2 linked regions of the Cricetulus griseus genome follow. The protein of the gene in region 1 purifies or fractionates together with the protein of each later gene. This does not show direct contact. Links are inferred from orthologs where the notes say so. Each region holds a gene or a part of one and is shown on either strand. Other genes may lie near its edges.

Region 1 (4,080 bases):
ACATTTACTTTTGCTTCTTCAACATGACATTCTTCAGTCACGATAAAAGGCTCCCCATCTTTAAACAATTCATGTCCATCAGCAATTAGGAGTGGATATTCAAGCGGCTGGAGATGGCCAAGCAACTAAAGAATTTGCACTGCTTTTTAGAGAAGTGAGTTCAGTGCCCAGCACCCACATCTGTCAACTCATAAATACAAGTAACCCTCTAGCTCACATCTGTAAATCCAACTAACTCCTGGATTCCACAGGCACTTGTACTCACACAAGCACAGACACATACATACACATAATAAAAAACATGGGGGAGGCACTATGTATATATAACTCACAATGAGACCAAAGGTGAGAGGGGTCACTTACTCAGCTGATCTCAACTGTCCAATCTTATTTTTATTCTACTTCTAATCAAACTGCTACTCTGCTATTAGAATTAGTTTCCTACACTGCCCTTTCCTATCTCCTGAAGTCTATATGCATCTTCTAGAACCTAAATCATATGTTATTCCAATCAGAAAGCTTTCTTTGGATACAAAGTAAAGACAGCTGATTTATAAAATACCCTAACCTTTCAAATATACCTTTTCATAATACTTAACATTCTACATTATGTTAAAATGCATGTTTACCCACAATTTAATAATATCTTCTATAATACCAACACAGCAATTTTCAAGTTTCTTATCTTCAGGCCTCCAACTTTCATAACTAAGGGTCTCATGTAGCCTAGCCTGGCTACAAACACATACTAGCACCAGGTTTATATGTTTCTAAAGATTGAATCCAGCACCTCATGTATGATACACAAAGTATTCTACCAACTGAGCTACACCATTAACCCTCTTTCTTTTACTATTTTACATAAATATCTGTTGAAAAGAGAGATAAATGAATTACAGAAGATGCAAAAGATACAAATAATCACAGTGAAGAAACTAGAAACTGAGAATGGGACTCATACCGGTATTCTGCTCCCCACCCTTTCACAAAACTCATTCTTATGGTGCACATTCGAGTTAGCTGATAAACGGCTTCAAAACCCTGATTAACAGACTGAGCCAGAAGAGCAGCAAATTCTTGGTTGTTGAAGATCTTCAGGTTGCAGCCTAGATTGGTAAACAGTAAAACATAAAAAGTGTCCTTATTAGAAAATAATTTTAAAGGGAGTCTATATTTTAGATGGAGCATGCGCATCAGCTCCTAATTCCTAAAATCATTACCAACTAGAAAAGTTAATGAAGCAAGCTGGTGACAGGGCTATTTTCACTGGTGATATAACAGGCTTATTTACATGGGTGAATCCATACCTGGTGGAATTTTACACACTGTTGCAGGGTGCCAGCCGTATCTCTGGTTACAATTGGGGCTCTGCACAAAGATTGCACTATCACTTAGGCACTCGGCAAAAACTTCCCCACCTATGTAATACAAGCGCACTCCCCTTCCTAAAACAAAACACACATTGTTAGTTTTAGAACACTCTCCTCTTCAGTGTTCCTGAGAATCATCTAGAAGGAACTCTAAGCAGATGCTAAGGCAGTTGTATGACATCTTCTCACAGCCATGCTTTCCTGAACTGTAACTCAGCATTTTTTAAAGAATTTTTAACAATAATTTGATCTTTTCAAAGTAACACTCATGAAAAATATTTCAACAAATATAGAGAAAGTACACATTAGCAAGACAGCTTCACTCAAATTACCTGGTGTTTTAGAAATTCACTTAAAATTGAGTTAATTTTGAAAAAAATAGTGTCTGGGCAAATTTTCCTTAAAGAGCTTACCAGAGTAAGAAAAGACTCAAAAATATCTCATCCGCCAGCTATGCAAACATCTGCTTTGTGGTGCAATCGCATACTAGGTTAAAGAGTGGTCAGGCAGGACTCAAGTGGCAGCAGATCAGCTGTTATGCAGCAGAGGGACTAACCAGTAGAACAGCCAGCAAGCTGCATGCAGAGGGCAAATGCAGCTGCTGTTAAGACTCAGAAACTGTGCAACATCAAACATGCACTTAGCTATCAAGAAAGGATAAGGTTCTAACTGGAGGATATACCCAGAGGGTGGTGTGCCTGTGTAGCAAGCCCTACATTAAACCCCTAGCACACTGGGGGGGGGGGGGGGGGGAAAATACAAATTTAGACTTTTCAGACTATTCGATAATCAAATCATTCAAAAGTTTAAAAAATGTAAAAAATAATCTAAAATTATAGTGAACTAAAAATTTTGTTGGGAGACATGAGTAGGGGCAGAGGAAACTACTACTTTTCTTTAAAATACAAAGGTCTAATTAAAACACAAAAACATAGAAAATAAAAACTAGTGCTACCTGGATGAAAGATGACCCAAAGTAACAACACTTGAAAGTACAGGTAAAGCCAACAACCCATTTCTATCTGTTATCATTTTACAGAATCAACATCAAGATCATCATTTTTCACAGGAGGAAATGGCTAATCCCCAACAGGCAGAAGAAAGCTGACGGTGAAGAAGCCATCAGACGGATTCTCAGTACCTGCACCTCACTGGTTAGACATGAACTACTAAGGTTCCCAGAAAATCTGGATAGATGTGGATTATAATCATGGAAACTTACTACATTAGACTGAAAACCTAAATAAAGTGTTTTAAAAACTTAAAACAACAAATCTATTAGTGTAAACAAGGTTTGTGAGAAATAATCATTTTCAAACATAAATCAGGAACAAGTGGGAATATTTCAGTTAGACAAGTTTCTTTACTGTCTGGATTCTCAGGTCTACATTTTATATCTTCACAACCCTAGGCCATGAAGCCCCCAGGATGCCCCACTTCCTGCTGTGGAGAAGCAGCAGGCAGCATTTCAGTATCACTGGAAAAGCAGTGCTGACCTCACACAGTGCCAAGATGCTCCAGAGGGCTGTCAGAAATCCTCCTTTATATTCTGAAGCCCCAGATTGTATTTTGAATTATACATAAAATCACTGGGAGGAGAGGGAAATGAAAAGCGATCACTACTAAACACTGCTTTTTTTTTTTTCCTAACTAAAAGAAGACTGAGCAAGCTAGTCACTTTAACACATATTTATCAAAGAACTTCTCACTATCATGAGTGCCAAATACAAACAAAAATCAAAGACAAAAGTTTGCAGATTAAGAATCACCAAGGCCCAATTAAAGGGATTCACAGAGATGAAGCTGGGCTTTTCCATATAAGCATTAGATCTAATACCACATATTGTCTACATTATGAGTAAATTACATTTTCCACATAAAGAAAAAACATACCTATATGCCTTCTTGTCATTTCTACAGTAGCATTTCGGTTGACATTGGAGAGCAAACCTAAGCAGAACCTCTCTGAGTTTGAAGGATCTGTAAAGCCGTCTACAGTAAGTGAGGGCTGTGATGCATGGAAGGTCTCTCCAACCCTCTGGTTTAGTTCATAATAAGCTATTGAACACCAAAATGCAGGTTCCGAGTAAGTAACTGGCTGCAAATCTGAAGTAAAGGAAGAAATGTATGAACAACTCAACATGAAATGAAGTGAACATCATGAACATACGCCATGCCAGCAGATAGGCAGCGGCTCAAGAAGTCACTGTGAACATCTATCTATTGGTTTAAACAGATTAGGCCAGATAACAAGTTTTAAAAATTTCCCCATCTCATAATTTGTGTTGGATTATTTCTTTTATTAGCTTTCATCCAGATCAAACCCAAAACAAAAAGACAAGAGCACATGGATTAGCCTGCTGTACTTAAGTGTATTCTTTAAATGTACCAAAAAGATAGTTTTGGATAGGGAAAAATATACAGCCGACTAAGTTGAAACCTACACTAAAAGATCTTATAGTGGGAGAACCAAAACACTCCCTGACATTGTCTACCCTCATACATGTAAGAAGCAGAGTGAAAGACAAGTGTTAGCGAAAACAGGTTTTGGTACTGATGTACAACTCACTAACAGAGCATCACATGTAATTAACTTCTGTTAATCTAATTTAGATGTATCATAAGGAAGAGTACACGAGGAAAAGACATGACAGTTTATAAGATACATCCTAAATAAACATCCATCAAAACCTTACAACTTCATAAACAA
Region 2 (4,848 bases), on another chromosome or scaffold:
CTAGCAAGTAATTACTTTTATGGGTGGTAAGAGGACTACTAAATACTTAGCACTAATTGAACTTTCAGAATGGCTTAAACACACACACTCACACACACAGTTATCTTGCTTTCTAAATTTGTTTCTTCTGGCTACATTCAGAGCCAGGTGCAAGGTGACCAGGTGCTTAGTCTCAGGACTGTGCTGGCTTTCACCTCGGCTTTCCAGGCAGGCCTCTGAATATTCTGGCGGTTAGAACATCTATTCCTCCAGACTCGCAGATGCTGCTCTCCCCCCACTGGCTCTGCACAGAACATCATTATCTTTGCTGAGCTTCTGTCTCTATGGCAATAACAGATGGGAAGTGCTGTGGAATTATTCATGTTCACACAGGCAAGCAGTCAAGGAGCGGAGGGTAGGAGATGGGAGAGGGGCATGACCTGGGAGTACGAAGATGGGGACCGACAGGAGCTGGGGCGGGGGCGGTGAAGAGCTTTGTTAGACCTACTGTGGGGGGAAGAGAGGAGAAAAATCTTCGAGCACAAAAGTACTCCTAATTGGACAGCTGCAAATGTGGACCCAAACATGAGTAACCCCGAAGCGGTAAAATAAGTAACTAGGCGAAAAGAAAAAAAGGGGGGGAGGGGGAGTAGAGGAGGGGTGCGCGGCCGCCGAAGCTTAAGTTCCCTAAGTCTGCGCTATTTCAGTTCCTGGTCCTGCGGTGGGGTGGAGAAAAGGGGATTTCTTTGCTGTTTCGAAATGTGACGGACTAGCTCCACAGACTTGAATATTCGAACTGACTCTCTCCTGGGTACGTTGGCTAGGAACTCCCCCCACCCACCCGCCCGCCCGCCCGAGGTGGCAGCCGACAGCTCTAAAGTGGTTATCTTTCTCCACCTCCTACCGTCTCTGAAAAAAAAAAAGAAAAGAAAAACCTGAAAACCCCAAACGAAAGCGCTCAGTGAATTAGAACGGGTCACTTATGGAGGGCGAGAGCAGCTGGGGCAGCCAGGTCTGTCCCGGCGGGGTGGAAACGGCGGCCTCCCTTGACGATGGCGGCCGGGCGAGGCCACCCCAGCGCGGCCAGGCGGGGCTCAGGGCCGGCAGCTGGCAGGGCGGCGGCGGGAGGAGGCCCCACAGGGGCGAGGGCCCCGCGACGTCTGCGCGGCGGCCGTGGGGGGGGGAGGGGGAGCGGCGCGGGGGTCGCCGCCTCCGGGCGGGGGCGTCTGCGCGGCGGGCTCACCCCAGGGGTCGCGGCGGGGAGCCGCCCGCAGGCCACCTCCGGGGCGGGGCCGGGCGGCCAGCTGCGGCCGCGGGGGAGGGGGGGGTGGCCGAGCCTGATCGGGCGCGCCAGCTGCCGGGGTCGCGCACAGTGCAGCCCGCCGCGCCCTGCCCCCTCCCCCGCCGCGCGGCGGCCCAGCGGCCGGGGCGCCCCCGGGTCTGGCCCGTCTCCACACGGCAGCGGGCGTGGCGGGGCGGCCCCAGACAGCCGGCTGGGCGACTCGAGGAAGGAAGGAGGGCGGCGGGGGTGGGGCCGAGGGAACATCCTGTCTGCGCCGGGCACCGCAGACAGCGCCGTGCGCCAGCCGCCCAGACGGCGCGCCGAGCCAGCAGCGTGGAGCACGCGCCGGAGCGGGGAGTAGGGGGAGGGGGCGGGGGAGAAAACAGACGCACGCGCGTGCGCGGCTGAGGCCGCCGGGCGCGCGCCCCCGGCGGGGCTGGAGGGACGCGAGCGCGCAGCCTGAACCGCGCGGCCAGCGAGGAGGAGCCACAATAGGCCAGACGGCGCGCGCGCCCGAGGGACTGGCTGGCGCGGGGCCGCGCGGCGCCGCTGGCTTCGTTCCCTCCTCTCCCCCCCCCCTCCGCCGCCCTCGCTGTCCCCCGGGCGGCCGGAGACGGCGGCGGCGTCTGCGGGAAGCCGTGTCTCCGCAGTGACGTGGGCGGGCCGAGGGCCGGGTGACGTCAGAGGCTGTGTGTAGCGATGTGTGTGGGGTTCGGAGCGGCGCCGGCACAGCGAAGGCACAGCGAAGGCGGCGGGCGAGCGACGGCGACGGCGGGCACAGGTGCGGCCGCAGGTCTCGAGGGGACGAGAGGGGCGTGCGGCCTCTGGGGACGCTGAGGCGGCGGCGGGGGTGATGGGGAGGCCACAGACCCCCTGGACCTCCCCGGGGTGCGGAGGGCCGGAGTGGGGGCGTCCGGGATGCGTGGGGTCCCGGGCGGGGTCTCGGGCACAGGGCGCGCGGCGGGGGTCCCACGGGTGTACAGGCCTCGCGGGTCCTGGGACGGGTCGGCTGGCAGGGGATGGCGCTGCACTTGACCCGAGCGGCCGAGACCCGGGAGACCTGGACGCCGGTCATCGCCGCCATCCCCCGGCCGTCTGAGCTCCGCGGGGATGCCCCGGGCTGGCCCCAGCTCCGAGCGGCCGGCGACTCGGGCTTGCGGGCTTCCGGGCTTGGCGCCCAGCCTGCCCGCGCCCCTCTGGGTGCCACGGCTCGGGGGTAGGTGAAGGGGGTGGGTGGCACAGCCCTGGGGCGCCGAGGTAACCCCAGAGAACTTCCCGCGGACCGGCTGCGTGGGGATTTCCATCGGCGGCCCCCGCAGTGGGGCGATGTGGGGAGGGCACTTGGGGTGATCCCAGTCTCGGGTGGGGGTTGGGAGGACTCCTCCCTCTACTTCCTTCTGCCCCCTCTCACCTCGCCAGACGTCCGGAGTCCCCGGCTTTCCTGTCCTACCTCCCTTCGGTTGAAGATGGGTGGGTGTCTGCGTGGGCGCAGGGCTGTGGTGCGCCCCCGGGCTAGGTCATACCTCCTGCCCTTTCCCTTGGCTCGCCTTGGCTGAGGTGTCCCTGGAGTGGCGAAAGTCACAGTACGGCGGCTAGATGGCTTTCGGCGGTCATCCTTTGGGTTTGTGTAAACGTAAATCGCGGGGAGTTTAGAAAGCAAAGGTTTTTATTTATCGGCGTTCGTTGCATTTTCTCCCGAGGGGAGTGGAAAAAGATTTCTTTTTTCCCCCACTCTGCCTCCATTTGCATTCTTTGTGAGGTCTGTCTGCCTTGTGCTTTTTTGTCCCGGATTAGTCTTGCTCAAGGATGGAGATTTCCAGGCATGGAGTCTTACAGCTTTTGGCTTCCATTAAAGCAAATTCACTAACCTTTTAAAGGGAAAGTTTATTTTTTTTCCTTAATTTCAGAAATAGTTTATATTGACTAGATGAATTAATCCACTTGAGACTAACTTGGTTACATATGGTAGGTATATTAACATGTATCTGGTTCTTTTGGAGGGTGGAACCACATATTTTTTAAAATGAAATAAAAGCTAATTTTTTAATTAAAATGGCATAGTTGAGAAAGCCTCTGGTACTGAGTTTTATTTATTTGTATTCTAAATTTGTGCTCTTCCTTGTTCGGAGGGATATTATTTAATGTTCCTGTTATCCATCTTCTGGGCTGCTTCCTATTTAAATGAAGTTTCTTTTAGATAACTCGTGTTTGATTGAAGGAAATCACTCAAGTGTTACCTTTGGTAAAGTGAACTGAGTTTAAGATTAAGAAACTGGTTTTAAAGTGACCCTTTGGCCTCTGGAGCATATTGAGTTGTAACTCTCCCCACCCTTTCTCTTCTCCAGGTCAATTGAAAGAAGAATGAACTGTAATCCTTGAAGATAACTGGGCAGTTTTTTTTTTTTTTTTTTGGATTATAGAAGTTCAGATTCTTACTGGTGTTGGAGGTTTAGACAAGTCTTCAGTTTGTGGACACACAGCAGCAGACCACCATTTTCAGTGAAGATTAGCGCCCCCCCCTTTGGTTTCCTTGGCAAAAATTAAACCGTTGCATCATTGCAACTCCTGTTTGGGTGTGGTTTTAGGATATAGTAATGGCATACACTTTCCAATGCTTTGCTTAAAAGACAAGACCACCAAACTCTACCATTACACCAAACCTTGCTCATCTTGAATTCAGAAATTAGCCTTTTTTTTTTAATACAAATATCTGAAGAACTCAAGAAAACAAGACTTTCCTCAGAAGTCTGCTTATTGTTATATTCTTTATTGTTAGATACAAAATGAGAAGTTTTGTAGTATTTTCGGTTATCTCCTAAGGTATAACTAAAAAAAAAAGTTGCACAAATCTATCGAGAAAGAAAATTCATCTTTGCAAACTAAAAAAATTTCTAAGGGAGCCATAAGTATTTGTATACATTATCCCTTTCTCTTCAAATTAGAAACTGAGTACAACATGCCAATTGCAGACTTAATTATTTAAAACACCAGTGTAGCCATGGAAAACCTACAGTCCAATTTTTCCTTAGTTCAGGGTTCAAATAAAAAACTGAATGGAATGGAGGATGATGGCAGCCCTCCCGTGAAGAAAATGATGACAGACATGCATGCCAGTGGAAAAACGCTGACCAAGGTGAAGAAGGAACATTTGGATGACTATGGAGATGTATCAGTGGAGACAGATAGAGACCATGCTAAACGAAACTGTACTTCCATCCCCGAAACTTTAAATTTAAACCCCAGCCTGAAACACACACTGGCACAATTCCATTTAAGTAGTCAGAGCTCTTTGGGTGGGCCAGCAGCATTTTCTGCCCGATACTCCCAAGAAAGCATGTCGCCGACTGTGTTCCTGCCTCTTCCATCTCCTCAGGTTCTTCCTGGCCCTCTTCTCATTCCTTCTGATAGCTCCACAGAGCTCACACAGACTGTTTTGGAAGGGGAGTCTATTTCTTGTTTTCAAGTTGGAGGAGAAAAGAGACTCTGTTTGCCCCAAGTCTTAAATTCTGTTCTCCGAGAATTTTCACTCCAGCAAATAAACACAGTATGTGATGAGCTATACATATATTGTTCAAGGTGTACTTCAG

Evidence for each region. Proteins that work in one complex are often made in the same cells at the same time.
Region 2: the proteins of Smad2 (region 1) and Skil purify together in Homo sapiens (affinity purification with western blotting; 8 studies listed by BioGRID and IntAct, with this or other methods). This does not show direct contact. The link is inferred for Cricetulus griseus from reciprocal best matches to the Homo sapiens genes SMAD2 and SKIL.

The regions. Positions count from the first base shown.
Region 1 is NC_048595.1:163,543,430-163,547,509, forward strand, and holds part of Smad2 (mothers against decapentaplegic homolog 2), read right to left. Parts: intron 3,477-4,080; coding exon 3,264-3,476; intron 1,446-3,263; coding exon 1,308-1,445; intron 1,107-1,307; coding exon 962-1,106; intron 1-961. UniProt on the Homo sapiens protein: Receptor-regulated SMAD (R-SMAD) that is an intracellular signal transducer and transcriptional modulator activated by TGF-beta (transforming growth factor) and activin type 1 receptor kinases.
Region 2 is NW_023276806.1:119,740,269-119,745,116, forward strand, and holds the start of Skil (ski-like protein), read left to right. Parts: upstream 1-1,906; 5' UTR 1,907-2,042; intron 2,043-3,606; 5' UTR 3,607-4,259; coding exon 4,260-4,848. UniProt on the Homo sapiens protein: May have regulatory role in cell division or differentiation in response to extracellular signals.